Diceros bicornis minor: one gene and its partners. The protein of the gene in region 2 purifies or fractionates together with the protein of the main gene of each other region. This does not show direct contact. Links are inferred from orthologs where the notes say so. Each region holds a gene or a part of one and is shown on either strand. Other genes may lie near its edges. The genes, in order: MTMR10, MTMR2, SBF1 and MTMR12.

Region 1 (7,470 bases), on a different chromosome or scaffold from region 2:
GTAAAGCCACAGGTGACCTGGCCAAGTTTTCTCCTAGTTTCTGATGGTAGTGAAGGCCAGAACCATATTATTAAGCCCTCTTAGTGAAAGCCCTAACCTAGCCCAGGTCTTCAGATCAATACTTCAGTTACTTTCCACTTGTCTTCCAGATTTCATGGGTAGAGTAGTAGGCTGCAGGCCAAAGAAGCAACAGAGGTTCTAGTGGTAGTCAGAAATGCGACACGAGAGGTGAAGCAGGAAAGAGAGACCATGACAGAAAGAAACCAGGAAGAGTGTGGGAAAGCCAGGATAAGAAGGTCAGAACAGAAGGGGTCAGGAAGGAAGGCAAAAGACACACTAATTTAGGATTGGTTAAATGTTCTATAAGGAACAGGTCAGGTGCAAATAGAACTTGGGGTGCCAAAGCCATATGTATGCAAATTTAGAGCCAATGCAAGAAATTTAACACAGGTCAGAAGATGCAGATTTAGCTGTGATTTCTAGTACAAGTAAACCACTTATGCTCAGGAAATGGGTTTACATCTTCCCCAGAAACCTCTGATTTTTAGTAGAAAGGTAAGTTTTTAGTTAATTCTACAGAACAGATAATCCTTCATTGTAAAGTTCTTCAAGCTGATTGATATTTAGTAACACTTTTCATAAGCATATTTTAAATATAAAAATTAATTTAAAAAAATCAAGCATTATCATTTGTAGCAAAGACCATGTTGTTTATTAGTGTCAAATCATAATATCAGAAGTGTAGAATCAAAGCCTAAGAACAGGCTTGTTCAGACAAAGTAAAGGAAGCCAAAGCTCAATAGCTCACAGGCATTCATTCAAGATGAGCACTGCTTCCCACAGCTGACTTTCAAATGCCTCCAGTGACTAAGACTCAAACAGGACACACACAGGGAGCAAAGGTTACTTATTAATTCTATTGTTCACTCTGAGGAAAAGTACAAGGATTACTCCGTACACACTGATTGGGTAAAAAGCATTAAAAAAATCAAGAGAAAATATTTATACCTAACTCCTATAATAGAGTTTAAAACAACTTTTAAGTAGCATCTATAACATGGAACCACAGATTGATGTTTTTAATGTGTCTGTTCCTACTTAATACTTAAAATTTTAAAGCACAAAATTTAAAGTTTCTATATTTGTTTAATTACTACCCATAAAGTTCTGATCATTTTACTAGATTAAGCATTAAGTAATGACTGATACTTTACAATATTGATAGTAGCCATACAAACTGGTATTTGATTATATTTCAGGTTTAAAACAGGCTTTCCTAAGTATCTGGCTACTTCCCCCAATAATCATAGTAAACAACGGGCTTTTTCTAATTATTATACAATTGTTATACAATTCAAAATACCAGTCAAATAATATTTTTATATGTTTTAAAACTAAACTCCTATCTACCCCCAATCCCCACCTCTACCTCTAAGGCCCTCTGAGGTAAATGTTGTTCTAAACCAGTGCTTCTCCACTGGGAGGAAATTTTGCCACAAACGCAAAAAAAAAAAAAAAAAAAAGTTCTGGGAACGTCTGGAGACATTTTGGTCACAACTAGGAGATGGAGAAGGGGGTACTACTGGTATCTAGTGAGTAGAGGTGCTACTAAACACCCTACAACAAAGAATTATCAGGTCCAAAATGTCAGTAGTGGCTCTGCTGGGAAACTCCATTCTAAACTGAAACAAGTAAATTTGCAAACACAGCTGACAACTTCAAAAAACAATTGGGAAGTAATTCAAAGTTCACTAAGCTCTGTTATTGGTATAGAGACACAGACAAAATAAAAGTTGCTTTTCATCCTCCCTCATAAAATGATGGTTTGACTATTAATTATTAATGCATGAAGTTGCAGACAGACATGAAGGGCAAAGAGTACTTTCACTACCTAAGCAATTAAAAAAGAACTTTTAAAAAGCTTTTAAAAAGACTATTTCAGGAGACAAAAAAGGAAATGAGATAGAGATATTCTTGACAGTTTTCTATGATGCTTAAATTTTCAAGGACATACACCAATTAATCATTACTTTTTAATGCTGTTGTTTAGTTCTAACCACCTTTTTTTGCCCCCTCAGTCGTTACATTTTTTACTAAAGTTTAAAGTAAAGAGAAAAGTTAACCACATGGTACTGGTCGGTAGAATAATCTTAAACCAAAACTCGTTACTCAAGTATCTGTTAGAAATCTGTTTACCTGGTAAAAGGACTGGCTCCAATTTTTTAATCTTCGGTTCCGAATCAATCTTATCGTCAGTCTGAAATACATTAGCAAAATAAATCAAAATCAAAACTTTTCCCTCCCATGAGATACTAAAGCAAATTTTGTTTTCTAAGTGACGATATATGTGACAGACACGTATTCCCCCCACTTAAATTCTTTCACATTTTTACCGAGCTCTTTTTAAGATCTGGTCATTATCGACTTGGGAGGCTGACAATAAAAATATTACAACTGCCTATGCCGCTTCCAGGTGTTCAGATTTATGACAGGTACGTAACCTCTTCTACCAGGTGCCCACAAGCGAAGCAGTCACGCTGGCGGTCACAGTGAGGACCGCCGCGAGGCGAAGAGCTAAATCGATCCAGCTCCCTTGGGTCTCATCACGCGGCAAAACTAAGCACCGTAGGTCTTCAGGCAGAGAATGGCTGCGGCAGTCTTACAAGTTTCTACCGAGCCAGTGGGGGCTCCCGAGAAGGTGCGTTTCCCCGCGCCGGGGCTCTGGCAACCGCACGGCTGGGGACAGGGAGACGGGGTAGCCTCTCGGGGTTCCCCTGCTCCCCGGGGCCGGCCCGGCGGCTCCCCGGAAACACCAAGGAGAGGGGCGCTCGCAGGGAGGGGGTTGTTTACCTGGGGCGGCGGCAAGAGGTAGGACCTGAACGTGGGTCTGGGAGGCTTGAGGGAGAACATGGTGCCGCCGCCTTTTCGCCCCGGCCGGGACGCAACCCGGGACCCACCACGGGCTAGCGGCAGCGCTGACGCCTCCCGACGCCCGCGGAGTCAGAGCTCTCCGTGCGGCCGCCCAGGCCCCGTCTGCGGCCAGCCGGGCCGGGCGGACTGACGGGCGGGGACACGGCGGAGCGCCCGCCCGAGCGGGGAGGAGCCGGAGCAGAGTCGGGCCGACTCGGGCGCCGGGGCCCATCCCCGGAAGGAGCTCGGCGCCCCGCCCCGAGCGACAGCGCGCGCAGGGCCGGCGGCCGGCCGCTCGGCGGCTCGGCCGCGCTGGCGCCCGGACGCAAGGCTTTGCGCGGTGCTCTCGCTGCCGGGACTTCAGCGACGGCGCCGCAGGGAGCACAGCCCGGTAGCCATCTTGAGAGCTCAGCCTTGGGAGGGCGCGTCTACGGCGGCCAGCAGGGCTCACGGCGGCCCGCGGGGACCTACGGCGGCCCGCGGGGGCCACGGCGGCTGCGGGAGGCTGCCAGCCACTCTGGCACTGGGCACTGTGTGTAGCGACTGCCCAGCGGTTCTTCTCAGGCTGGGACAGCTCCATGGACTGCTGCTCGTTAGTTACCCAGCTCGCGCGATCATTGCTGTTTTAAGTCGTTAGGAGGAGCCCGGAGCGGGGAGAAGGGGACTCTGGCGCCCCGGACTCATCCAGTCACACTGCGCCCAGTGTGTGAGGGCCCGGCACCGGGAGAGTGGACTGGTGCAGCCAGCAGTGACCGGGATCAAACGTTCAGCACGATTTGTACTGCATGTGATAAAGCCCCTTAAAGGTCCCACATTTGGGGAAGATTTTCTTCCATCACCTCGTCTGTTGTTTTTCCGCAAAGCTTTGAGACAGGGATGTCCTACCAGCTGAGCTGACTGCTGATTTCCGCGGGATGCGGAGACTTGCGTGGGCTGTGGGGACTATTGACGGATGACATTGACAGGCAATCCAGACTCTTCAATTTAGTTTATGACTTCTACCCTCCTTATTAAAACTTAATGTGAAAAAGATATTAAGCAAGTTACCTTCCTTTCTTTTCTTGCCCATCCTCACATGTAAAGATACTAGTGAGCAAATAAATGATCCAAGCCCAGCAAGAGTAAGGCCCTAGCGCTGGGGGGTGGGGGGTGAGGCGCGAGGGAGTCTTCAATAGCCTATGGACCGAATAATCTGCCCATTAATTGCAAAGAACAGACGAAATTCAGCATATCAAGGACAGGGCATTTCAGAACTCTTAACATATTTCTGAATTAGAGCAGCCTTTGGGGGAAGGGGATTAGTGACGTTACATTTTGGTGATCTGTTAGTTGAGACTAGATCCTTCTTATGCTTTGAAGAATAAAACCCTAACCTAGCATTTTATAAATAATGTCACAAGGAAGCTCCAATGTGGCCATACAAATCACAACCATACTGACAAGTGTTGCTAATGGAAACACCAAAAAACTTACAGATTCAAAAGATTGCTTTTTTCCTGAAAATAATTTATCCTGGATTCAGAACGCTGCTGGTCTTTCTGGTTTACTTGTTTGAGTGACACATGATTCTATTTTGCTAGGGAACCACAATTGTGCTTTTAAAATGTTAAGTCCATTAGGTGGTTATAGGTGTTAAAAATGCTGTTGTGCACATACATTTTAAAATTTTTATGAATAGTCTGTGATTTCTCTACATAAAATGGATTTTTAAAAAAAACTCATAGAAAAAGAGATCAGATTTGTGGTTAACATGGGGCAGGGGGCGGGGGGCAGGGGGTGGTGGCAGTGGGTGATTGGAGAAAGGTGGTCAAAAGGTACAAACTTCTAGTTACAAGATAAATAAGTGCTATGGATGTAATATACAGCATGATGACTATAGTTAACACTGTTGTATGATATATATGAAAGTTGTTAAGAGAGTAAATCCTAAGAGCTCTCATCATAAGGAAAAAAACCTTTTTTTTCTTTTTTTGCTTTCTTTTTTTATTGTATCTATAAGAGATACAATATTTGGGAGGCTAAATAAATTTATTACGGTAATCATTTCACAATACATGTAAGTCAAACCGTTATGCTGTACACCTTAAACTTATACAGTAGTGTATGTCAATCGTATCTCAATAAAACTGCGGAAAAATAAATGGATTTTTTCCACAAGTGGAAAAAAGCAATATGTGGATATTTCTTTATACTTTAATGACTTACTATGTGATTTGGGTTTTGCTGTACAGGTTTTCTTAGGATCTATAATGCTAATGTGACCATACAGTTGAAAAGTAGAAAAACTCTGATTTCTAGATTTGTTACTGACGTAACCCTAAATATTATGACACTTTCAGACATGTAACTGTATTCGTCTGCTTGGGTTGCCATAGCAAAATATCACAGACTAGGTGGCTTAAACAACGGAAATTTATTTCTCACAGTTCTGGGGCCTGGGAAGTCCAAGATCAAGGTACAGGCAAGGTAGATTTCTGATGGGAGCTCTCAGACTGGCTTGCAGACAGTGGCTGTGTCTTCACAGGTGGAGGGAGAAAGAGAGTGTGCTCTGGTGTCTCTTCTTATAAGGGTGCTAATCCTGTGGGATTAGGATCCTATGACCTCATTTAACCTCAATTACCTCGTAGAGGCCCTATCTCCAAATACAGTCATGTTGGGGGTGAGAGCTTCAACATACAAATTTTGGGAGGACACAGTGCAGTCCATAACACTAGTCTTGTAGCTTCTTCTCATCCTGATCTTCTTGACACTCTGTATTTATGGAATAGTTGACTATTCCCTTCTTTTGGCACTATTTTGTTTTCCTCCTATTTTTCTGACTCTGTTTCCATTATTGGTTCTTCTCTCATGGAGGATAGTGACATTCCCTATGGATCATTTCCTTTTCCCTGTGAAAAGAAAAAAAAGAGCTAACATTTCTTGAATGCCTATTAGGTGCTAGGTACATTATATATTCGTTCATTCAGTTACCAAATTTGTATTGAGTGCTAACTTTGTGCTAAAACGATCCAGACCACTAAGAAGACAAAGTTCCTACTTTCCTGGCATTTTCATTATGGGTAGAAAGATATAGAAAAATTAATGTATAACATGTGAAATGGTAACAAGTGCCAAAATAAAACACGAGAAGGATGAGAGTTCTATTTTTTGATGGGAGGTGGGGTGTGGTCATGGAAGGCCTTTCTGATAAGGTGACATTTGAACAGAGGCCAAAGGGAGTCAGCTGGAAATCAGGAGGAAGAGCATTGTGGTCAGAGGGGATAGCAGTGCAAATGCCCTGAGGTGAGAGCCTATCTGGTGTGTTTGAGGCCAGTGGGTGAAAGCAGCCTAATCCAGTGTGAGAGGAGGTCAGAGAGAAAGAACAGGCCAGATCACATAGGGCCTGAAAGTTAAGAAGCTTTTGCAACATTTTGAGCTGAGAATGACACGATCTAACTGACAATTTAAAATAATCACTGCCACTGCTGCAGTGGTACAGCAGGGTGGACGCTGGGAGACTAGTCGGGGCTATTAGAATAGTCCAGACAAAAGAAGCTGCCGGTGGTGAAAGTGGAGGAGGTTAGAGTGGTTATGTATAATGTCTACAAAACTCTGCCATTGCCTGGGACTATTAAGCAATTTAAAAAATCTGTATCTTGGGGGGAGATTCTGGGAAGATGACAGCAGCAGCATAATTGTTCAGTCTCAACATAAACACAGAGAAAGCAACTATAAAGTAAAACCAGAAACCCCTGCACAACATCTACAACAAATCTAAGTGAAACAGTATCCCCATGATCTCCAATACGTAGGCAAGTGGGAGCAAAGTCCCATAGCAGTCACAAGACCTGTGGTATCAGCACAGGGAATCAGTGAGGCAGCTGGAGAACTCCAGAATAGCCAGAAGGTTTCCACTGGAAGGCCCAGCCGGTCAGGTTGAGAACAGCAGGTGAAATAGGGAGGGGTGTTTGTCATCTCCAGTAGCATGAGCCTGCAAGGGGCTCCTTGTATGCCCTGAAGGGACTGGAACAACATAGCTGTGGGAACTCTTGAAACTGACCTACCAGGGCTTCCTTAAGGGGCCCACACTGAGAACAATCGCTGGGCATGGAAACAAAATTGAGCCAAATAGAGACAGAGGAAAAAGAAGGTCTAGAGAAAACTGGAGGACCAGAAAATCTCCAAAAGTAAGCTGACTTAAAAAATTTTACTACTACACTAGAAAAACAGAAGAGGTTCTCTGTGAAGTTAGAAAAGCAATCCTGAAAATTGCCTCCTTCAAAAAGTTCCAGAAAACCAATTTCATGTAAAAATAAGCAACAGGAAAGTATGGAAGTCAAATCCATAGAAGACTACTATAATGAAAAAGAGAATAAGAATAGAATGGCACTTCTACAGACAATAAAAGCACAGCAGAAAGACATGTCCCCTGAGCAGATCAAAGCTGACAGCCACTATTGAAGAGACACTAAGAGAATGATATGAACGAACTATGTAAACCAGAATTAGCAACACTCAAAAGGAAATGAACAAACTCAGGATAGAATTAGAAAGAAGAGAAAAAATTATTTCAGAAATAAA
Region 2 (7,819 bases):
TAGTTTCCATTTTCAAACAAATAGGAGGCATACATAATTTTTTTGCATAAATAATTTTCCTTGAAGCTAAACTCAGCAGAAATTTATGTCAATCTAATGTGTAAAAGACAATCCGTAACACACTGAACAGTATTGTTAACTATTATTTTGCAGGCACTATCAAAACAAATTCACAAGGCAATTTCCTAAATGAAAATTGAAAATTTCCTAATTGTATAAAACAGAAAGCACGAAAATAAACTACAATTTAAGGGGGATATTTCTGCAAAAAGCTGAGATAATATAGTTCAAACACAGTATTTTGCTTTATCATAGGCTAACAAAACAAAAGTAGAAACTTAATCTAGATAGCCACTTAACGTAGCTATTATAACCATGGTTGTGTATTACACCTGGCCTGTTATTAGAATCACCTGTGATTGTTAGGCTACATTAAGTTTAAATTTAAGCTTTCTAACAAGTGTCTACAATGCAGCTATTCTATACTGTTGATTAAAGACAGTGCCATAAACAGGTGTAATAATTCATGAAATAAAAGATATGAAAGAATTTAGCATGGTAAATTCTTTACAGCAGACATTCAATAAATGTTATTTTTCTACCTTCCAGAGGAGAGGAATGAAAGCTGGCATTCTCCTGTGGAAAGGAGAGAATCATACCTACATTTTTGTCTAGAGAGGCTGAAACTAACATACTGTAGTCAAAATTCAAGTTCTTAATTTTCTCAAATTCACATGTCAATAACATAATTTTTTACTAAGAAGTTAAAATACATATATAAACTTTAAAGTTGCGGGACATTGTCTTTTTTAGAAAATAAATGTGCTTAAGTGCAACAATTAGGTACATTAATTTGTAATGATAACATTTATTTAGTGTAACTTCAAAAATCTATAACAAAGGTTATTTGTAAAGGTAATATTTTAGTAATTGATAAGAATGCATTCATCTTAGTAAGTATAGTCATTAAGATAAAGAACGATAGAATTTTAGAGCTCCAAGGTGCGTTACAGATTTTCCAGATCAACCCCTTTATTTTAAAAGATGAGAAAACAGCAGACTAGAAACGTTAAATGATACAGGCCAAATGGCTAGCTGATCCAGGGACTTGAGAACCTGAGCCTCCTGACTTCCAGTACTTTCTTCTTTCTAGCAGACTGTGCTGCCTCCTGTGGTTCTAAATCTTCTCGCTTGGATGAGAATATTGGTTGCCTCATTTGTTTTCTTTACATTCTACTCTGAACCATAGCTGGCATTTGTAACTTTCTCATAAAATTATAATTTTCCAACGTGTTTTCTGAATGATTTTACAGCTATGTAAATCCTCAGCTTTCTAAATTTCAGAGTAATAAACACAAAATTCAAAAAATACTTGAAACAAATGTACAATATACATAATCAAATTCAAAGAAAAATTCTTCTCTCCTGGATAATTCAACCTACAAATTCAAAATAACACTATTGAGCACCTCTGACATGCAGGGTCTCTGTTAAATGCTGAGGATATGAAGATGAGTAAGATACAGTCCTTGTCCTCAAGTAGCTTATAGCCTAGTAGAGAAGACAAATCAACAATTATACTGTGCTTGTTAAGGACTCTGAAAAGGGGGTGGGCAGGTTGCTATGAGTGCATATAGGAAAAGAATCTAATTTAGATTGATGGCATCAGCTAATGATTTCCCATCAGCTAATGAATCCCAAATAGGGATTGCTGTTCCCTACTGAACAGTAATAGGAAAAATTGGCAGTATCACCCATATTTAGTGGAGTCCAAAATTAATTAAAGGAGACAGTGCAACTTTTATTCAGGGGAAAAAATGAAAATTGTGTGTGTTTTCGCACCACAGCGTAGTATCTAATAACTCACTAATAAAAATTAGACTTTTTCAGAGGAAAAGAACGTGATTTCATTGTTGCTATATAACAGTTACAGGTCTTCTATTATTCCTTAATAAAATTTTAAATCATTATTTTAAAACCAAAGAAAAAAACTGCATCTAAAACATGTCTAGTTAATATTTACAACAGCTCTCTGCGATGCTGCATACTAAAGTCCTCCTCAAATTTCCAGGAAAAAAATCCCATCTGCTACAAGAGAAATAACCTGGAGAACCGGTAACTCAAGAAGGAAGAAAACTACCACTCATGATTCACTATGCACTCGGAGATAAAGACTACTGAGATTCCTAGATAATGACTTTCAACTGAAAGATCTAGAAAAGAAACGCACAGTGTGTATTTTTATATACATTTTTAAGCAAAGTTGGTGGTGGGCCGAATCAGAGTGTAGGGAAAATCTTGAACGATTTCCTTTATGGAAGTGAAGTGATGAAAAAGAGAAGTCAGGGTGGGCAAGAATCCAAAAGGCAAAGACACAAGCATGGATGGAAGCAAGACTAGAGGATGGTTTTGAAAAGAGTGGTAGAGAGAAAGACAGGGAGGAAATGGGGGAAGGGGGAGAGTGGGGGAAGGGCTGTCCAAAAAATGATTTAAGAGGGAACGAAAGATAAGAGAAAGTAATGAACTGGGGCTACCTCAATGGGGATAAAATAATATCTCAATACGAAAGGTAGAGGAGGCGATAAAGTAGTAGTGAGTTTTAACCTTCTTTTTCCCAGCCTCTAAGCCCCTGCGAGGAAGAAGTAGCTTTCAAGTCCCAGGGAAAGAATTCCGGCGCAGCCTTTGGAACCAGAGTCCGCGAGTGGGGGCACCATCCAGTGGGCCCCCGACCCCTCTCCATCCCCCTCGGACGCTGGGCGGGGCCCTAGGTGTCCTGGTTACCTGGACAGAGAATCCACGCTGGGCGGCCGTGCTGCCGCCGGCTGGGAGCCAAGACTCTCGCAGCTCGAGCTCTTCTCCATGGCGCGGCGGGGGCAGCGGGAGGGAGAGGCTGAAGCGACCTCCGCGGCTGCGGGGCGGGAGGAGCGGAGGGCGGAGTGCGCCGGGCAGGAGCCGCGCTCAGGCCAGTGCCGGCCCGGCAGGGAGACCGGAAGCGGCCATGTTCCCCCAGACTGCACCGCGCCCGGGGCTGCCGGGGAGCGGGGGGACCCCGCGTCGCCCCTCAGACGCCCGCCCCGGCGCGCTGTGCGCGCTGCGTCCCGCTGCTCGGCCTCTGGGCGCTGGGAAAGGGAGGTGACGGTTCCCGGCGTGAGAGGGTCTTATGAGGCGGGAGGGACGAGGGACGAGGGACGTGTGGAAGGAGGGGAAATTTTAGATATGAGAGAGGAGTAAGAGAAGAAAGAGACGAGGAGCTGAGGGACGGAGACGATGGAGACCGGAATGTGGGGGTCAAGGAAAGTGAGAGCGCAGGGTAATAAAGGAATGTGGGCGAACAGTAGGATGAAGGGGCAGAAGGGACGTGAGGGGGCGGTGCGTCACGAAGGGAGGAAGAGAATTTAGGGGCACGTAAAGGATGAGGATATGGGAGATGAGATCGCAAAGTGTTCACCAGATTAGGGGCTGAAAATACTGATTCAATAAATATTAATTAAGTAATGATTAAAGGCTGCTTTAGAGCCAGTCAGACATGGATTCAAATCCTGCCTCTGGAGCCGGCCTTGATGGCTTAGCGGTTAAGTTCGGCGCCCACCGCTTTGGTGTCCCGGTTCAGACTGTCTGTAGCCATGCTGTGGCCGTTACTCACGTGGAAGAACCAGAATATATAACTATGTACTGCAGCTTTGAGGCGGGCAGGGGAGAGAGGGGAAAAAAAAGGAGGAAGATTGGCAACGGATGTTAGCTTAGGGCGAATCTTCTCCTGCAAAAAAAAAATACAGCAAATCTCTGCCAGTTACTCCCAGTTTAACACAGGGCATTGAAAACATCAACTTCCTTATCTGTAAAATAGGAAGAGGAATAATAGCTTCACAGATCAGATGAGTTAATACATGTAAAATGGTTAAAGCGATGCTTGGCACATAGTAAGCACTCAAATGTAGCTATTAGCATTACTGCCTACGTCGTAAGAGTTCTTAGGATGGAATGGACTGATGTATATAACAGTTTCTAACAACTTCAATAAAGGGTAGCTGTGGGAGCGGAAGACATAGGAAGGGTGGCAGAGAAGTAAGGAATGATTGGTATGGGAAGGGTAATGGGGAAAGTATAGGACAGGTAGGGAAAAAAATTAATGCTCATCATTTTTATTTTCATTCCACCCCTGGCCCAGCATTGTAGAAAGGGCACTAGAAAACAAGCTGAAACTTTCAGTCCTACTGTGACTTGGATTGAAGTCACTGTGGTCTGGAAGTGTCCATAGGGTAAAAGCACTTGGGCGTTAATCCATGGTCCACACAAAGAGGTATGGAAGAGGAAACAGGGGAGGGAACTGATAAATAGGCAAAAAAGTAGACACGCAGACTACTGGATGCAGTGGTGTTGGATAGAGGGCAAACTTTTAACAATCTTTCCCTGCCCTCTCAAATTCTCCTGCAGAGCAGGAAGGGAGGGTAGAGGGATAGAATTGTGATAAGAGAACAGGAACTGGGTGAAGGGGAAATGCTTCTGCTGGTAATTTTCTGTTACAGAGGATACAGGAAGGACGTAGAAAGGATGCCGTAAAGAAATTTTTCTGATTAAGACTGAATCCCAAGCACCTGAAGTATGGGGTGTAAAATTATGCAAAGATTATTTCTGTAAACAATTAGACAAGGAATCATTTTTAAAAAACTTTCTTGCTGGGATAAATAGAATTATGTTGATTTAAACTAGATTTAATTTATACTGACAACTGATATCTTTAAGAAAATCTTAAGGTATAGGGCCAGTGAAATATTGACTTGCAAGTACACTCCCCAGAAGAACAACCCAGCTTAGTTGTGTTCAGCATAAACTAGAGTTCTTAAAATGAATGAATGTGTGTTTAAGCACAAAAGGCTTAGCCTTTCTCTTCCATTCTCCAGCTTGGTAAGGACAGGATGGCAAACAATGGTTTTTATTTGTGTAATTTTTAAAGAGACCCAATCCTCTGATAGGCAAAGAGAATAAATAGAAACACTTAACAAGCATACACATCTACAGTGATTCGGAAAAGAATTTGTTTATTGCTTCCCCATCCTTACCTGCCTTCCAAAATGCTGACTGCTACCTGATACTTTGACATAGATTTTCCAAGTTAAGTTTAGTGAAGACTGATGAATCCTTGAATGGGAGACCCACGTACTTGCTATTACCCAGTTCATTTCTAGCGCTGTCTTAGTAGAGCACTTGAAACCACATGCCTGATGGTATAATAATTTGTGTGGGTCTATTTGGGGCTTAATAAAGAACAGTAATGTTAAGTGTAGCGACTTTGAAACCAGATGTCTGAATTGGAATCCTGGTTCTGTCGCTTACTTGCTCTATGATTTAGATTAAGTTGCTTCTCCAAGACTCAGTTTTCTCATCTCCAAAATGGGAATAAAAATATAATCCACATAAAGGGTTGTTTTTCTCTACTCTGAGTTGATTGCACAGTAGGCTCTTAGTAAATGGGTCTGTTGCTATTATTATTTGTTCTTCCTCTGAGCTTACTGCTTTACTTCTAACCTAAATAGTAAAACAGGAACTTCTCAGAGTGAACAAGCAAAGACTATTTTAATCTCAGCTCAAAGCTAAATTAGTACTGAATTCTTTGCTGACATATTGGCTGCTATGTTGTATACCCAAGAGAAATCAACTTGATTAGGACTTTCTGTACGTCAGTTTTCTCATCTTTTAAAAAAACATTTTAGCCCATCCCAGGTCATTCAGGAACTATTGCTATATTTAAATTACAGTCTAGGCTCATCTCTCCTATTAAATGATTAACTTGAGACCTTTCCAAGTTATTTTCTTATTTGAAATCTAGGCTAATGTTTGTCAAATTATCAATGGGAAGAACCAGTGTTTTTGTTTTTAATTTCCAAGCTATCACCAACCAATACTTTTTTAAAATATAAAAATTAATTACTAGAAAAATGAAGTTTAAGAAAAACCAAAGGCATGCAAATACAAGGCCACATTTTTTTTCTTATATTTAACAGATATAAAATTACTCTAAAAGTTGCATGAAAGTTTGTAAACACACATTCTCAATTCTGTCCTCATCTCATTATAGACAGGCAACACATAGTTCATGTAAGACACTGGTTAGTGGACACAATTTGAGTGGCACTGATTTGGATCTATAGGTTTGTTGCCTATCAGCTTGTCAGAGGCTGTTTACTAGATAATCTGAATCAGAAAAAGGAAACTTCTCTTGAGACAGTAAAATGGTGGCTTATGAATAGACAAGTAGAGGGATACTTCTGCTTCTCTTAAACCACATATGCCAAAAACATAATCCTTGGAAAGATCAAGCATACATAAACTTTATAATTAATTATTTCTATCCAAAAATTTAATTTTTTGATTACTTTCGTTTGGAGAGTTCCTTTTCTAGTATGGAGAAGTAAGCTCCTAACAGACTGACCTTTCCACAGATAACAACTATGAACTAGACAAAATACAAAAAAACAACTACCTGAGGAGTCAAGAAGTGAACAGAAGCATGCAGAGTCAAAATGTGCAGGAGGTGACCAACACAGAGTGAGTTTTCCATTTTTGGTGGCTTTGACCTATGGACAGACCAAGATTGTGGTGCAGTGCACAGTGGCAAAAACTCATATAGAAAGCCCACCATCTCTCGGGCCTGAGGAACCAAGAGAAGGGAGTGCAAGGCAGCTAGAGAATGAGGCAGGAATTCCAAAAGAGAGAATCCAGGAGGGGAACTCTAAACTCTGTGTCAATTCAGATAGTCTCTGACTAAGCCCTAATTTGATTTGAATAATATAAAGGCACAATGCATGCAGCTCAGATAAAAGAACCAAAAATAGAATATTCTTCTGCTCTTCCACATAATAGAACTGAAGCAGGATTTGAGTTGTTACCCACTATAAGCAAGACAAAATCTTCAGTTTGTTTCGCACCAAATTAATTTCATGCTAAACAAAAGCATCAATACTTTGCAGAGGAAAAAAACAGAATCCGGAGACTCTAAAACAATATTCGTAATGCCAAAGACACAATTCATAATGACTTGACATAAAAAGTACTAAGAGGGGCCGGCACAGTGGCGCAAACGGTTAAGTGCACGCGCTCCGCTGTGCGGCCCGAGGTTCGCTGGTTCGGATCCCAGGCGCGCACCGATGCCCTGCTTGGCAAGCCATGCTGTGGAGGCGTCCCATATAAAGTAGAGGAAGATGGGCATGGATGTTAGCCCAGGGCCAGTCTTCCTCAGCAAAAAGAGGAGGATTGGCAGATGTTAGCTCAGGGCCAATCTTCCTCACAAAAAAAAAAAGTACTAAAAAAATGGGACCTATTCTCAAAGGAAAAGATAACAAAGAAAGGCTACATTCCAGATGACACAGGTGTTGGAATTATCAGACAGTAATCTCAAAGCAGCTAATATAACTATGTTCAATGAAGTAAAGGAAAACACTGTAATCAATGAAAAGATAGTAAAACCCAGCAGAGGAATCAAATACATTAAAAAGATACAAATGGAAATTTTAGGAAAAATACAGTACCTGAAATAAAAAGATTCACTGGCTGAGCCTAATGGCAGAATGGATTTAACAGAGAAAAATGTCAGAAACTAGAAGATAAATCAATAGAAATTATCCAATATGAAAAAGAGAAAAGAGATTGAAAAAATATTAACAGTCCAAGGGATGTACGTGTAGGACAATATCAAAAGGTCTGATATACAGATAATTGAAGTCCCAGAATAAGTAGAAAAAACTAGGCAGAGAAAGATACTATAGCCAAAAACTTACCAAATTTGACCAACAGCATAAATTTACAGATTCAAGATGCTCAG
Region 3 (8,227 bases), on a different chromosome or scaffold from region 2:
GGTGGGGAGAGTAGACAGGGCCCAGGAATGTGGCCAGCTCAGCACAGTCAGGACTGAGCGAGGCCAGGCCAGGCATGGAAGGTCTTCTCCTCAGACGCTGGAGAGGCAAGGGGGTGACTCCAGCATGGAGGCGTCCAGCCTCTCCCCCGGCAGACATGCACTCAGCCGCCTGGTCAGGTCAAGTGCATCTCTCCCTCCTGAAGACACACCCTGGCACTGGCCATGCTGTGTTAAATCAGCTGACCACTGTCAGGGCCCTCCAGGGCCAGGAGCTAGGCACGGGTAGTCTGTCTGGCCCCTGCAATGTCCCCAGGGCCCGACCCAGGGTGCAGAAGGTGCTAACCCCATATCCCTAGTGAAGGAGCTCCCCCTACTCACCCGGGAAGGGCCTGCATCCTCTGAGATGAGGTAAGTCCCGCCCGGCCCCCTCCCCACCCTCCTGCCGGGCAAGACCCACCAGGTAGTAACCACGAAACTGGACGCTCCCTCAGGCAGGACTCTGCACTCAGGCCCTGCATCCAGCAGCTCCGGACAGGATGTCCAGATCCAGGCCAAGGACGACAAGACATCCACCACTCCTACCCCCGCCACCGAACCCGAAAGACCCCGCATCCCTGCTCTGATATCCTAGGCCTGCCAGCATGCAGGGGTCCCCCACTGTGTCTGTGCCCAGCACGGGAGGGCTGTGGGACTCATCCATCTCCAGATGAGGAAACCAAGGCGCAGAGAGCTGAAAGACTGGCCCAAGGCCACAGAGCTATCAAGCGGCAAAGCAGGAACCGCTAGCTGCCCACCACGCCCCCACTACCGGTGCTCCTCTTCTTCAGGCTTCCCCCCACCACCTGGCTCTGCCCTCAGCCCCACGGCCAGGGCGCCAGCCTGAGGAATTGTTCATCACAGGGATGGACGAGTCCTGCCAAGGAAGGCCCTGAGGCTGGGTGGCCAGCCCACAGCTGACCAGCTCCAACCCTGGAAAGCAGTGGTTAGGTGGCTCCATGGCCCCCTACTCCTGTAGCAGCAGACAGCTTGGGAATCACTCCTTCCCACCACTCAGGGTGAGCAGGCACTGCGGGCTCCAGCCTTCTCCCCCGTCCTGCTCAGAGGCCACACACCCTGGGGTATCCACCATACATGTGGCTCTAGCAGAAAGCACACACATGGCACAGGCAGCTTGTCATGGAGCCCACCCATGCCCCCTCTCACTTACCTCACATTCACCCTCAACTCCCCACTCCTACTGTCAGTACCATCAGCACGCCTCTCAGCTGGCCTCTGCCTCCTCAGACCCTCCCCAAACTGCCCTCAGCATCATCAGCCTCCAAGCCCGCTGTGCTCATGCCCCCCAGGGGCCCTCACACTGGGGCAGCCCCTCCGTCAGCCTTGTTTCCCTGGACCCCGTGCGCCCCTCTGCTCCAGGTGGCATGGCCTCCTCACTGCCCCCCAACACGTGCCTTGGAGCCGACAGCTTTCCCTCCACGGGCCTGCACAACACTGACAGTGAGCCTGCCCCGTGCAGACTGGGGGATGAAGACGACTGGTCCTTGCCCGCAAGAACGACTTTTCTGGAGGGAAAGATACACTTACGACTGAGAGTGTCCAGGGATGGATGCTCGGACAGACGAGAGCAGAGAGGAGGAACAAGTACTGAGTGAGAGGGCACTGAGGAGGGTCTGGAGTGTACAGGGCCCAGCAGGTGGAGGCTCAGCAAGAAAAAAGGCAAAGAGAAAAAGTCCGGGTCCTGGATGGTGACAGTGGCGGCTGGGCTGACAAGAAGCAGGGTAGACTGGGGGGCTCACCCTTCCTTCAGGCTCAAGGTTCACCCCTAGCCTGACCACACAGCCACCCTCACCTCTACCACTGACACCCACTGCCCCCTTGCAGTTGGGATTTGAGCCCAGATCTTGGCTCTGGGTTAGCCTGGGTGTGAATCCTGGCCCCTCTGTGGGGGCTCAAACCAGGCAGTCAACCTCTCTGCCCTGACTCCGCTCCACGGATGCAGGCAATAGCAGGCAAACCTCGGCGGGCTGCTGGGAGGAAGAAGGGAGACCGTGCACACACAGGGCTGTGCAGGGCCTGGCACAGTGAGCACACTCCTCAACACTGCTGTCTCCACGACTGTTGCTGATGTCATTGTCAAGCTCCGTTCTCTCCTACCCCCTGGGTTGAAGGGGCTCTCAGACACAGGCGCTGACCCTAGACAGGACCTCCTGGACATCGGCACCAGTCACCACACTGGCTTGCAGGCATGAGGACGGCAGGCCCTCTGCCAGGAATGCTCTTCTTCTCTCTCCTCCCCACATTTCCTCCTGAAGTCCTCCGAGTTCCAGCTCAAACACTACCTCTTCGTAAAGCAGTTCCTCAATCCCCTCCTTCTTCTGCATCCCACCAAGCCTCCTGGACCCCAGACGCCCCGCACGGGGCCTGAGGCTTCAGACAGAGGTACTGGGGGTCAGAGGAGGGGCGTGCACGAACGATGGTGCCCCTGGAGGCAGAGGCACCCGGCAGTCGGCCAAGGCGGCGAGAGCCCATCCCACCAAACTGGGAGTCCGGAGGCCGAGCCGCCCAGGGCCCTCCCACCTCCCAGGCCGATGCCAAGGAGCTGCCAGACCCGGTTCGGCCCTGAGTGTGGCGGGGAGGCTCGGCCCGCCCTGTCTCCCCGCCCTGTCCACCTCGGGCAGGCCGCCCCGACCCCGACCCCGGGCCGCCCCGACCCCCGACTCCGACCACGGGCCGCCCTGACCCCGACCCCGGGCCGCCAGGTGCCCGGACGACCCTTGCGCTGGCCGGCGGACCCTTCCCGGTCCCCGGGCCCGGCCCTCAGCTCTCAGCTCTCAGCCACCGCCGCGGGCTGGCACTCACCGCGCGGGTGCGGCCCGAACGCCACCAGCACGAAGTAGTCCGCGAGCCGCGCCATGGCGAGGGGCGCGGGCGGGCTTCGCGGCTCGGCGACGCGAGGGTGGGGCGCTCATGGCCCGACCCTGGCCCCGGCCCGCGCACCCCGGACACCCCGGGCCCGCTCCTCCGCCGTGGCCAGGGCTCCCGCCGCCATCTTCCCAGCCAGCCGGCCCGCCCGGCCGCGCCGTGCGCCTGCGCGGCACCGCCCCACCCTCCCCGTGGGCGGGGCCCGGGACGGCCCGCACCCATTGGTCCAGCGGCCCGGGCTCGCTTCCCGGGGGCGGGGCCCCGCCCATCTCCTCCCGCTCCGGGCCGGGGCGCCGCCCCCAGGGAGGTGACAGCGACGGCGGCCCGGACGGGTCAGCGACAGGCACGGCCGCGGTCGGAGCTGGCCTCGAGCTCGGGGCTCCCACGCGCGGGCGCAGAGCGGTCGGGGCGGGGCCCTGGGCTCTCCCCTAGCGCTGTCAGTCTGGAGGAAGGCAAGAGGGCCCGGCCCTGCCCTCGGGTCTCCAAACTCAGGGCTGCCAGCTTGGCGATGGGGGACTACCCAGGCCCTGCCCTTGGGGTTCCCAGCACGCTTGGAAGCCCCATCTAGGTGGGTGACACATTCAACACATGTCCATGAAAAAAGGCGCGCTGCATGTCCCGCTGTAAAGAGCCCTGGTGCGCTGCTTGGGAGAAGGCAGGATCCCTGACAATGCCCACCCTCAAGGACAGCGCCGGCCAGGGCCTCCCCTGCAGTGGCACAGGGATGGGCAAAGGGGACACAGAGCCTGAGACAGAACACCTAGGAGAGGAGCTTGGGAGGTGGAGGAGCCTCAGGTTGCCCCACTGACATGCTGGGAGGGAGGGTGGCAGGGTTGGGTTTGTGTTTAGAGTTTGGCTGCTGCAAGAACCGACGAAGAAACAAACTGCTGACAGCCATGTTCCGTCCCCTTGCAGGAGCCAGCCCAAGAGAATGAATGAAACTGAACCCAGAGACAAAAGCTGAGGGAGAGACCTTGCCAGGCTCCCCTCCCTGCCCCCGGGGGCAGGCCTAGCCACAGCCTCCTCTGCTTCTATTGGCTGCTGGGTACACAGGCTGAGAAACCTTCCTTTTTGCCCCTGGTGTCCTGGGTTGGTTTCTATCACTTACACCCGAAAGGTCCTCCCCGCCGCATTACCACACCATTGAGCTTGAGCATGGGCCGGCAGTGTCCCTGGCCAGTCCTCTGGCCTGGCACCTGAGCCCAGGACTGGCTCTCCCCCAGAAACTGTGGGGACCCTGCACCCCACCTCCCCCACCCTCATGCCCTAAGGATCCCATTCCTTGCAGCTCTCTGGAAGTGCCTTAGGGTCAAGGGGAGGTTTGGGATCCCTTCTAGACCATGATAGCCCCCACTCGAGTTTCTTGCCATTGAGTTCCCTGCCCACTACACTGCCCAGGTCACCCTCCGAGGTGCTCACACCTACCTGCTTCCTCCCCTTCTGGGGACTGTGCCACTCCCAGTGCCTCCTCTCCTCCCAGCAGTGAATGACTCTCCTGGGTCCCCTGGCCTCTTGGCTTCCTCCTTCTGTCCTTTTACCCCCACCCATCGTGGCTCCCATCGCCTGTCATCCAGCCCATGTCGTCGGCCCCCACCTCTCTGGCTTTGTTTTCAGTGTTCTCATCAGGCAAACCGAGATGGAAGCTCCCCTCACCACCCAGCCTGCTGACGTCTGGTCAGCTCTCCTCCCGTCTGCAGTATCCTCTAACCTCTGACCCCACCTCCTGTGTCTCAGAGATGACCCCACAGCTTCACAGAGAAAACAGAAGCCATCCAATGGAAGGCCTCGTGTTGCACCACCAAACTCCAAGCCCACCTCCCTCACACTCTACCTCCTCCCTCCACAATTACCATCGAGGCTCCGCCCCGCCCGACCTCCTCCCCACCTCTTGCTGTTTCCTATCAACACCCCCATCCTCACTCTTTCCCTATTGAGGGACCCTTGCCATCAGGATTAAACTCAACCTCTCCGGGCTGGCCTCATGGCTTAGAGGTTAAGTGCATGCGCTCCGCTACTGGTGGCCTGGGGTTCAGATCCCAGGCGCGCACCGACGCACCCCTTCTCCGGCCATGCTGAGGCAGGGTCTCACATACAGCAACTAGAAGGATGTGCAACTATGACACACAACTATCTACTGGGGCTTTGGGGAAAAAAAGGAGGAGGATTGGCAATAGATGTTAGCTCAGAGCCAGTCTTCCTCAGCAAAAAGAGGAGGATTAGCATGGATGTTAGCTCAGGGCTGATCTTTCTCACACACACAAAAAAAGAAAACTCAACTACTCCCACCTTAAAACACTCAAGCAAAACCTCCCTGGATGCTGTTTGCCCCACCAGTTGACACCTAGCTTTTCTTGCCCCACAAGGATTTCTCTAAAGCATTCCTCCAACATCACCAGCACCGCCTGCCTCCTGTGGCCTGGTCCCTCTCACCAGCCAACCTCTGGTCTATTTCTTGTGAGCCGTTCCCGGCAGCCAGCCCATCACCACCTAGAAGCAGCTTCTCCAACTGAAGATACATGAAGGAAATCCTTGAGTTTCCCCTTGAAGGGTACATGGACAGTTACAGACAAGCGCCACGAGAGGTGCTGTTCAGGGGCCTGTGGGACCACAGAGGGGGCCCCTAATCCAGTCAGGAGGGGCAGGGGCAAAATAAGCAGCCAGGCTTAAGCCTGAGGACCAGAGGACATCCCGCCCACGGGCAACCAGGGAGGTGGGACCACAGGCCCACGGTGGCAGCAAGTGTTCCGAAAGAAAGAATGTAGTGAGCCACGGGCCTCGAACCTCCCTGAGGCTCCCTGAGGCTCACCTCCACGTGTCCCGGATTAAAAACCTCATGGACACAGGGAATTTTGATTTATTTTTCCTTTATTGGTGGCGTGAGTAACATGATCACATTTGTGTTTTGGAACGTGGCACTGGCAGCAGTGTGGAAGACAGATTGAGGGGAGGTGTAGGGAGGCTGGAGAGAGGAGAAGCAGCTGCAGAATCGGTCCTGCCTCTGTGTCCTCTGCGCACCCCCTGCCCTACTTGTTCCTTCAGACCTGGCATGTGGGTTCTTTCCTCTCTCTGCACTCTGTGGGCGGTGCTCACCTCACCTCTCGCCTCCCAGAGCCTTGCCATCTCTGAAACTCCCAAAACTGTGTTCCAAGTCTGCCATCTCTTCAGCCGCAGGCCCACGAGGCTGGAACCTGGCCAGACACCTCTGCCAGGATGTCCCCCAGGCAGCCAACCCCTCCTGGCTCTCTCCAGCAGCTCCTTGCATCAGCAAACAGAAGGGCTGACCCTGCTCTGCCTCCCTACCCAGCTCAGTTTCCCTCTGAGCCGTCCACTCTGTCCCCATGGCACGCCTCCTGCCAGCCCCGCAGCATCCCCTCCCTCCTGAACCCCACTTTTCTGATATAAATGTGGTCACGTCACTCTCCCTCCTCCCCCCACTGGTAAAAATAAATAAACAAACAGAAACAGGAGTATCTGCCAATGCTTCCCCACCTTCCTCAGGATGTAAACCAAGCTCTTGAGTATGGCATGCTTTCAACACTTGTTGATTTATTCATCCAGCAAATGTTTATTGAGCTCCCATGGCGTGTGCGACAGGAGAGTGGCCAGGTCACCCGGGATGACCTGACAGAGGGAGCAAGACTGGGCAGGGTTAGGCAGAAGAGGAAATACAAATGGACACAGAGATGCCCAGATGATCCAGGAAATGTCCACTAAGTGGGGCGACAGGATAACTGTCCCCTCTCAGATTGACAAAGAAGCAAGGAACTACTGACACGAAGTCTGTCATCCGCTGACAGTGGATTGGTGCAAGCTTTGTGGAGAACAATTTGACACTACCTGTTGACACAAACACAGGCTCACCCTCAACCAGAATTTCCACTTCTGGGAAAGTATCCTGTAGAGAGACATCTGCGAGCTCACAGCAGACGGGTTCTTACTCTTGGAAGGCTGGAAATCGCCTAATTGCTCATTAATAAAGGATCAATTAAGTCAGTCACAAAACACTTACATACTGGAGTCAGCCAAGCATAAGAAAGAATGGAGGGCTCTATGATTACGTAGATTCTTACCTATATAAGCATATATGTGTTTATGTAATACATGCAGTACACACACAGGACGCCCCTCGCGTGTCTCCAGCGTACACGGGAGACAGGAACGCGGCGCCCGCGCAGATCTGGGAGAGGCAATGCGGGGTCTCACTTTTTACTTATTTAAATTTCTTACAAAAACCATTTATACTCCGATAATGGGAGAAAAAAGGTAGAGATGCTTAGGAATACAGCTGCTAGGGGATCTTGAGGAGGGGTCTCGAGATCGCCTCGTGAGGAACCCTCCCCAGAAGAGATACTGGCCAGGGCCCCGGGCCGACATTTGCGGGTCAGAGAGGTGGCAGGCGGGACCGCCCGGCTGCTACAGCCCCCAGCACCCACCCCCTCACCCGGACAGGTTGGGGCCCCCAGGACGCGGGACACTGAACCTCAGCGGAGCGCCGTGCAGCCGGCCGGGCTGCAGTCCACCCGCGGCAGGGCTGGGTTGGGGGCCGGGGAGGGCGCCCCGCCCAGCCGCGCGTCGGCCCCGCCTCCTCAGGAGGGACTATTTAGCTCGGTGGAGCCGAGGCTCCATCCCCAGTTGGACCCCGACAGCGATCTGACCGCGGAGGCCTCGCCCTCGCCCGCCTGGCCCACAGTCCGCAGACTCTCGCCCGCTTCTCGCCCGCGCCCCGCACCCCGAAGGACGCAGGTACAACCTGCGCGCGGCGCCCACCGCGGAGGGCTCCCCAAGGTGAGGGCAGAAAGGTGGCTTGGGCTAGGGCCGCCCCACACCTGCCGGCTCACGCCCCCTCCAGCCCCGCCCGCCATGGCCCGGCTCCTGACCGTCACCCTCGGTTGCATCAGCCTCCTCTACCTGCAGCTCCCGGGCACGCTGTCCCGGCGGCCCGCCAGACCGAGGTGAGTGGGGCTCAGACCAGCCTGACCCCTGGCCTGCAAGGCAGAAGACCAGAATGCCCAGGGAGGTCCCCTCTGCCCGCAGCCCTCCCCAGGCCCCCCACCCCCGGGCCTCCCGCCTGCTGCTAGTGCTTACCTCCGAAATCAAAGACCAGCCTCCGTGCCTTCAGCAACCTCTGAGCAGGGCAAGAGGCCCCTCTTTCTTTTCCTCTTTTCCTGGGGCACCCGCTTCCCCCACTGTTAGAGCAGACCCCTCAACAGGAGAGATCAGCTAGGAGAGAGGGGGCTGGAGGGGTCACCTCCCCCACCGAAAGGGAAGGGCTGATGGGGCCTCTCTCTGGTCCTGAGCAGAGTGA
Region 4 (7,413 bases), on a different chromosome or scaffold from region 2:
AGATAGGCCCAGATCTCTCCCTCCTGTTTACCTCAACTTCCAGAGCCATCAGCTTCCCACTTACTAGCTTTACCGATTTGTAACCCCCTGGGCAGAGTTCACAAAATATAACCCAAAGTCCTAAATTACAGTTCAGGATTTTAACTTTCACATTCACTGATTTAGGAGAATCAATGACAGAAGAGCCTTAAGTTACTCTGGCAGAGATCCAATTTTAAAAGGTGGAGTTAACTAGTACCCCTCCTTTTAGGCTGTCCAATGCCAGTTGCTTCTGATCGCAAGAAGGAAAATAAGCCATTATGTTGAAAAGCATCATTTTTAAATACTTTATCCAGTTAAGCGCTGCTGTTTTTAATACAAAGTGCTGACTCTTGATAGACTCTTTGGCATATTGAAGGCAGCTGCTGTTGAACCTGCCAAGATCTGATCAGCCAAGAACAAGATCATCAGCAGGCACAAGTACCGTAAGGCACATTGCACCGTAAGGCGTGAAGGTTGTTCTGGCAGCTCAGTGATCTACGAGGAAAAAGGTCGACGCCTGCAACTTCCCAGTTAACAAGAGAAAAGCGCCTACAAAAAAGTGATAGGAAGACATACAGCACAGGCAGTAAAGATGAAGACAATATGTGGGGGCTGGCCCCGGCCCGGTGGCTTAGCAGTTAAGTGCGTGCGCTCCGCTGCTGGTGGCCCGGGTTCGGATCCCGGGCGCGCAGGGAGGCACCGCTTCTCCGGCCACGCTGAGGCCGCGTCCCACATACAGCAACTAGAAGGATGTGCAGCTGTGACATAGAACTATCTACTGGGGCTTTGGAGGGAAAATAAATAAAATCAATTAGAAAGAGAAAGTAATTGCAGAAATTATATATAAAAAAAGACAATATGAGGGATAGGAATAGAATGACAGTCTTCAGAAAAGTGTTCTGAGGGACTCCTCCTGAATGAGCCCAGAAGTTTACCAGACCCAGTGCTCTCAGATGCACAGAAGCTACGCCTCAAAGCTGCTCACATGCGTTTCCAATAACGTGATCACTAGCAAAAGCTATATATTTAAAAACAGACTTTCTCACCCCCTTGGTCCCTTATCTTTTAAAAACCATTCACAATTCAGGTCAGAGTCTTATCCTCTTACAAAATATTTTTAGAGACAGATTACAACAAAGAAGCATAGTGTCTACACAGCATTATTTTATTGCAAGCAAACAAAACTGCCAACTATAAGGATCTGAAAAATCTGACCATTTCGAGCTTATTCTGGGGCTGAACCACTCCCCTTCCCTAATTATCCCTCAAAGGAAATATATCAGGAGCTGTGGGCAAAGAGAGAAAACATGTCTAATTACAACATGTGCACTTGGTGGATGAAAAATTTGAACATTCTTGAACTCTGGCCACATTTCAGAGGACTTTCCACTTGTAGTTTAATCACACTGAAAAGTTTAAAGTTCAGTTGTACTTCAACCAGGGCTCAATAAAAAAAAATACAAAGAGAAACGGACCACATTACTTACCCGTAATACTATAAGGGAAGTCTGCTGAAAATTCAAGATGACCCTGACTCCTTATCAAGCATTTACAGAGTAAGCAGTTTTTATTTTAAAATTAAGACCCATTTCAAGAGTAGTCTGCAGTGGAGAAAACACACACATTTTGAATTTGAAAATACATGTGCAAAGCCTTCAGGTGGCTTACAGAAGCAGTCCCTGATCAAGACCTTTCATCCACAGCCCATTTGCTGGTGCTTTACCCAGATGGGAAGACACCCTAAAACAACGAGTTTGGTAGTGCTTCTGCACGTTGCTGATTAAAGCACTGGAGAGAGGAGCAGAAAAAACCTTCAGGAATCGGAAATGAGAACACTCTAATTAGGCATTTGGATTGGGAGCTATCGCTCAAGAAGCCCTCAGCATGACCTACAGGTTGGAACCTCTCCCCTCACCCCGTGAGCAGCTTCTGCAGGGCTGGCTTCCTTGATGCTCCTCCAACACTCCAGACTCTTCCCTCAGATCCCAAGCATCCTTCAAGTCTTGGCTCAAACCACCGTTGCAAGGAGGAAAAAGGTGCCTTTTCTTTTCCCACGATACTCATCACCTAGTACACCATGTAACTTACTTACATCTATTTCATCTATTATTCACTCCTTTCTCCCTCAAATAAGTTCCAGGAGAGCAGGGATCTTTGTTCACTGATGTATATCCCAAGCGTTTACAACAGTGCCTGGCACAGAGTAGGAGCTCAAAAAATATTTTCTGAATGAATGAATGAACCTGACAGTAAAACTCCGAGAGGAAAGGAAGAGGCGGTGGAAAGGGTGATGGTGAGGGGCTGAAATGAAAGGGGGAAGAAGCGACAGAGGGGAATTCACAAGGGAGAGGTAGAGGCTGGCTGAGGCTGGGCCCGACCCACAGTTTCTCCCTGCAGAGCCGATGGGCGGCGGGCGGCGCTGCGCGGTACCCCGCCAGCGGCATCGAACAGCACTCTTAGAAGCAGGCAGCCGAGACCGGCGAGCTCTGAAGACTCGCTGAGAAACTCCAGGGGCAGGGCAGACCCACCCGGGCGGCGGGCTCTGGGCAGGCCCCCATGGGGGTCCGGACCCCCCAGCCCTTCCCCTCCCGCGGTGCCCAGAACCCCAGCTTCACTCCAACGTGGTCAGCGGCGTCCCCGGCCGCGGCACCTTCCCGGCTCGGGCCCCCTCACCTGGTCGCCAGCGAGCCGGGCCCTGCGCTCCAGCACCTGCCTGCCCGCCCGGGGGTCCCCACCCCGGCCCGCGGGGAGGCCCAGAGCGCCCCTACGGGCCCCACCCGGCCCGGCTCCCCTCCTGCACACGGCCAGGAAGAGCTCGCGGCCCTCCCCGCGGCGGGGAAGGGGCAACCGGCGCCCCTCGCCCCGGCCGCTCCAGCCCGACGCCCGGCCCGCTCACCTCGGGGCGTACGTACGACACGAAGGAGGGCTTGGGCGCCTTGGTGCCGCCGCCACCGCCCACTACCCCTTTCCCCAGCATACCGCCGCTCTGGGAAGCAGCGACGCGCGGGAGCAGAGGGGGCCACTCGGGCTCCGGCAGCAGCGGCGGCCACCAGCACTAGCGGCTGGGGCTCCGCCCATCCCCAGGGCCGCGGCGGCCACGGCGCCGCCCGCATCCGGCTCCGTCGCTGACACCGTTCGCCCCGCCCCGTGGCCACGCCCACTACGCGCAGCGGCCGAGAGAGCCGGGAGCCGGCGTCTGGAGGCCACGCCCCCTCCGTTCTCGACAGGCGTGTCTGAGCGGCGGAGACTCGCCCTCGGAGATAGGCTCCACACCACCCTCCTGCCGCAAAGCCCGCCCCCATGCATTCTCTGATTGGCCAGAAGGCGCGGCCAGCCGAGCCCCACGCCAAATCCCCTCTTGAACGAACCCGGACAGATGTTTCCTCTAACCAATCGAGAGAGCGTTCTCTCCGGACTCCCCGGCGATTGGATAGCAAGAATGTCGCCGTCATCCAGTGATCCTGCGGTCACTAAGTTGTGACCTGTGGTTCACTGCACTCCTCTTCTCGTTCTTTATCGATTTGTAATAAAACTTCCAAAAGTGTGGTGTATCCAATCTCGCTGTATGAGTTACAAATCCACACAATGACGTTCGGGTTTATTATATTAAATGGAGATACAAATGAGACAAACCAAGTGTTAACAGGGATTTAGCAATAGGTTTGAATGTTTATAAAAGGCCTTGTCGACTTCATTTTCCCGAACTGTTGTTTGTTTGTTTCTAACAGAATATCAAAAGCCCTAAAAAGATTTTTTATCCACTCTCCCAAGTTATCGATAAAACCTTCGCTTTTAGTGAAGATTGCAAAGACAATTTTTTAAAATTCTTTGTTTAAATTATTTAAACATTTGGCGTCAAGCATTGTGTTAGACGCAGGTGAATAAGACAGGACTCCGCTCTGAAGAAATTCAATCTAGTGGAAAAAACTAAGTATTTGCAGTTAATTTTTTCGGTGTCAGACACTGTGCTAAGCATTAGCTTCATCAGTGACTAATGCTCTCACTGTCTCCATTTCCATGAGCCCCGCCACCCGAAGTCACTCCAGATAAACATAAAATCTAAATGAAAACAAATGTGCTTACTTTTGCAACCACAGCTTCAGGACAAGTCCTGTAGCCTCATTTCTAACTAGACTGCCATTGTTAAGCCTATCTAGCATAGCCGCGCTGGAGCTGCCACTGAGTGAATCCCAGTTTTCACGTCAGAAAACAGATGCAAGGAATTTGCCCAGGTCTCACAGCCAGTCACTCACAGAGCTGGGATTCCAGCCCAAGTTTGTCTGATTCCAAAGCTGAAGTTCTTAACATTATAATTATACAAATTAGGAAGGAGCACAATGAAAAAGTGGTCAATTCTGTTTGGGAAGGCCAAGTCAAGCTTCAGAAAGATAGACACTCCTTACAGAGGTGTTGAAGAATGAAGTTATTTGTCGGGACTAATAATATCACCTTATATTTAACAGCAATTTTACTTCTCAAAGTGAAATGGCAGGGCAGATTCTTATAGTCTGAGCAAATTTTTACTTTCTTACTTTTCAAAGGACTTTGAATTTCCATGATCTTCCGCCATAGGCAGTATATGAGAGTGGATACCTCTGGCCAGGGCTGGCTTCTCAGGCATGCAGCTAGAGCAGTCACGGAGGGCCCGTACTGAGAAGGGCTTGGGGTTTAATGCTCTGCTGTTGCAGCCTTGAAAATCTTAATCATTTTATCTTTGAATTTGTGTTTTTTAAGTGAAGTTTGAGGGGCTGATGGAGCAAGCCCAGGGGTCTTGGAGCCTCAGCTCCTGCCAGTCTCACCTCCCATCCTCTCCCCACCTCCTCTCAGGTGCCCAGTCCCCTGGCACCCTGGCCCTCCCCAGCAAATCCCAGGACTGCGGCCAGCCTCTGTCGGGGCAGCAACTGTACCTCATTGCTGGGAAGGGGTGAGGGCAAGTCTCATATTCTGCCATCGCCATCCACCCTTTGCCCACATGGGTGCCTGGGCACTGACTAGGAGATGATCAGAGTCAGGCACAGCCCCCCAACCCCTTCCTGTGTCTCTGGGTAGGGTAGGCAGCCATCCCTACCCTAGGCTGGCAGCGCCATGGCAACTAGCCAAGGCCTCTTGTCCACCCCTGTGCAAATATCCAATGTGGCCAGGTGCAGAGGCTCCAATCCCTTGGGGGACGCCCATTCACTGTGGGAAGGGGATTTGACTTCCCTGCCCCCAGCCAGGACCCCACATTTTCATTTTGCACTGGGCCCTGCAAATTATGTAGCCATCCCTGCCTATGCCCTTTATTATCTCTGTGTGCTTGAGCAAGTTACTTCATCTCTCTGTGCCTCTGTTTGTATCTAGGATGATAGTAATAGCAATAATAATTATCTCAAGGTGGGTGGGGATTGCTATGAAGAGTAAATGTCATCCAGGTGATGCCTGGTAAGGAGCAAGAAATAAATAGGTGATGGCTGTCCTTAGTACAATCCCACCAAGCAGGACATAATTTACCCCTTTTGGGGACTATAGAAAGAGAAGCAAAGTGACTTCTCCCAATAACCAGCTGAGGGACTTTGTTTAACAAAGAGGTTTTTTTTTCTTTGCTTATTTGTTTTTGTTTTTAACTTCTGGCCCAATCCTTGGACTAGAAATAATGGCTTTTATTTATAATTCACCACACCAAATTTCCCTCTCTTCAAACCATCCTGTATTATAATAATTACTTTATCCTGCTCTTCAGTATCCATTTGTGGTTAAGTTGGTTTGCATTGCGATGATTCTGGAAACTTGACACAACCACTGCATCCATACACTCTCAGAAAACTCTGGCAAGGAAGTGAGACAGGTTTTTAAAGACTGAATGGCCAGCTGCTTCCAGGGGCAGTTTTGACTCAGTGATGAAAATCCACACTTTCAGGCCGGCCCCGTGGCTTAGCGGTTAAGTGCGCTCGCTCCGCTGCTGGCGGCCTGGGTTCAGATCCCGGGCGCGCACTGACGCACCGCTTCTCTGGCCACGCTGAGGCCGCGTCCCACATACAGCAACTAGAAGGATGTGCAGCTATGACATACAACAATCTACTGGGGCTTTGGGAGGAAAAAATAAATAAATAAAATCTTTTAAAAAAAAAAAAGAAAATCCACACTTTCTTTAAGGAGCAGTAAGGAATGAGGACGAAGAATAAGCTAACATCTGTTTCTATCTTGCTCTTAAGAATCTCCAGCTATCATCATATTTTTACTTGATCTTCAGAGTGTAGGTCAAATCTCCTTGGGAGAGTCTCTCCCAACTGATTGAAAAATTCCTGTCATGCTGAGGTCAAATAATTCTCCATCTATTAATAAACACAGATGGTAGCCCTTAGACTTTGGAATATTTTAATTTACACATAATAGTTTTAAGGTCACTCCTTTCTTCTAACATCGCCCTACGCTTTCTTGGAGAATTATAAATAGGAACAAATCTTAGCTCACACAGAAATGAGTGCCAGACCAAAGGCAGCGTCGTTTCCTCCCACAGACAACTGAAACCCACAGCACACTCCCAGATGGGGGAAGCATTGTCCTCATGCTGATAGTTAGGCCTAGCTATTTAGATTTCCTCCTCTTTGAAGTCGCTTGAAGCAGCCTACTTGTATGCGTTGCTCATCTCGTTCTTTTTTTTTTGGTGAGGAAGATTGTCCCTGAGCTAACATCTGTGTCAATCTTCCTCTGCTTTGCATGTGGGATGCCACCACAGCATGGCTTGACGAGCAGTGTGTAGCTCCACACCCGGGATCTGAACCCATGAACCCCAGCCATTGAAGTGGAGTGCGTGAACTTAACCACTGTGCCACCGGGCCAGGCCCCATGTGTTGCTCATCTTTATCTAATAGATGCCAGGTGCATAGTAGGAATTCAATAAATATTTGCACCTGAATGAATGGGGATTAAATGAAAAGCAGTCTGGGCATCGATTGATTAGTAAGCAGGAGAAGCATCCAGGTTAGAGCCTGCACTTTTTTTGTGTGTGTGTGATGAAGATTAGCCCTGAGCTAACATCTGCCAATCCTCCTCTTTTTGCTGAGGACGACTGGCCCTGGGCTAACATCCGTGTCCATCTTCCTCTACTTTATATGGGATGCCACCACAGCGTGGCCTGACAAGCAGTGCATGGGTGTGTGCCCGGGATCTGAACCCGGGCCACCAGCAGTGGAGCACACGCACTTAACTGCTATGCCACGGGGCGGCCCTAGAGCCTGCACTTTTACATCACTCAGATACAAAGCAGGACCTGATTTGAAAATGAATAAATAATATGCATAATATATTATATAATAATAATAAATATAATTATATAAACATATATATGAAATATTCAAGGACTAAAATGCAAGTGTTATTTACTGGCCACTTGCCAAACCTCAATTTTAGCAA

What was found.
Region 1: the proteins of MTMR2 (region 2) and MTMR10 purify together in Homo sapiens (affinity purification with mass spectrometry; 5 studies listed by BioGRID and IntAct, with this or other methods). This does not show direct contact. The link is inferred for Diceros bicornis minor from reciprocal best matches to the Homo sapiens genes MTMR2 and MTMR10.
Region 3: the proteins of MTMR2 (region 2) and SBF1 purify together in Homo sapiens (affinity purification with mass spectrometry; 6 studies listed by BioGRID and IntAct, with this or other methods). This does not show direct contact. The link is inferred for Diceros bicornis minor from reciprocal best matches to the Homo sapiens genes MTMR2 and SBF1.
Region 4: the proteins of MTMR2 (region 2) and MTMR12 purify together in Homo sapiens (affinity purification with mass spectrometry; 5 studies listed by BioGRID and IntAct, with this or other methods). This does not show direct contact. The link is inferred for Diceros bicornis minor from reciprocal best matches to the Homo sapiens genes MTMR2 and MTMR12.

Annotation. Positions count from the first base shown.
Region 1 is NC_080744.1:78,609,096-78,616,565, reverse strand, and holds the start of MTMR10 (myotubularin-related protein 10), read right to left. Parts: upstream 3,180-7,470; 5' UTR 2,911-3,179; coding exon 2,851-2,910; intron 2,258-2,850; coding exon 2,197-2,257; intron 1-2,196.
Region 2 is NC_080746.1:38,064,868-38,072,686, reverse strand, and holds the start of MTMR2 (myotubularin-related protein 2), read right to left. Parts: upstream 3,237-7,819; 5' UTR 2,862-3,236; coding exon 2,782-2,861; intron 1-2,781. UniProt on the Homo sapiens protein: Lipid phosphatase that specifically dephosphorylates the D-3 position of phosphatidylinositol 3-phosphate and phosphatidylinositol 3,5-bisphosphate, generating phosphatidylinositol and phosphatidylinositol 5-phosphate.
Region 3 is NC_080764.1:329,879-338,105, reverse strand, and holds the start of SBF1 (myotubularin-related protein 5), read right to left. Parts: upstream 3,022-8,227; 5' UTR 2,915-3,021; coding exon 2,860-2,914; intron 1-2,859. Other genes in the region: protein ADM2, read left to right, coding at 7,783-7,874. UniProt on the Homo sapiens protein: Acts as an adapter for the phosphatase MTMR2 to regulate MTMR2 catalytic activity and subcellular location. Promotes the exchange of GDP to GTP, converting inactive GDP-bound Rab proteins into their active GTP-bound form.
Region 4 is NC_080759.1:35,993,832-36,001,244, reverse strand, and holds the start of MTMR12 (myotubularin-related protein 12), read right to left. Parts: upstream 3,090-7,413; 5' UTR 2,999-3,089; coding exon 2,918-2,998; intron 1-2,917. UniProt on the Homo sapiens protein: Acts as an adapter for the myotubularin-related phosphatases. Regulates phosphatase MTM1 protein stability and possibly its intracellular location. By stabilizing MTM1 protein levels, required for skeletal muscle maintenance but not for myogenesis.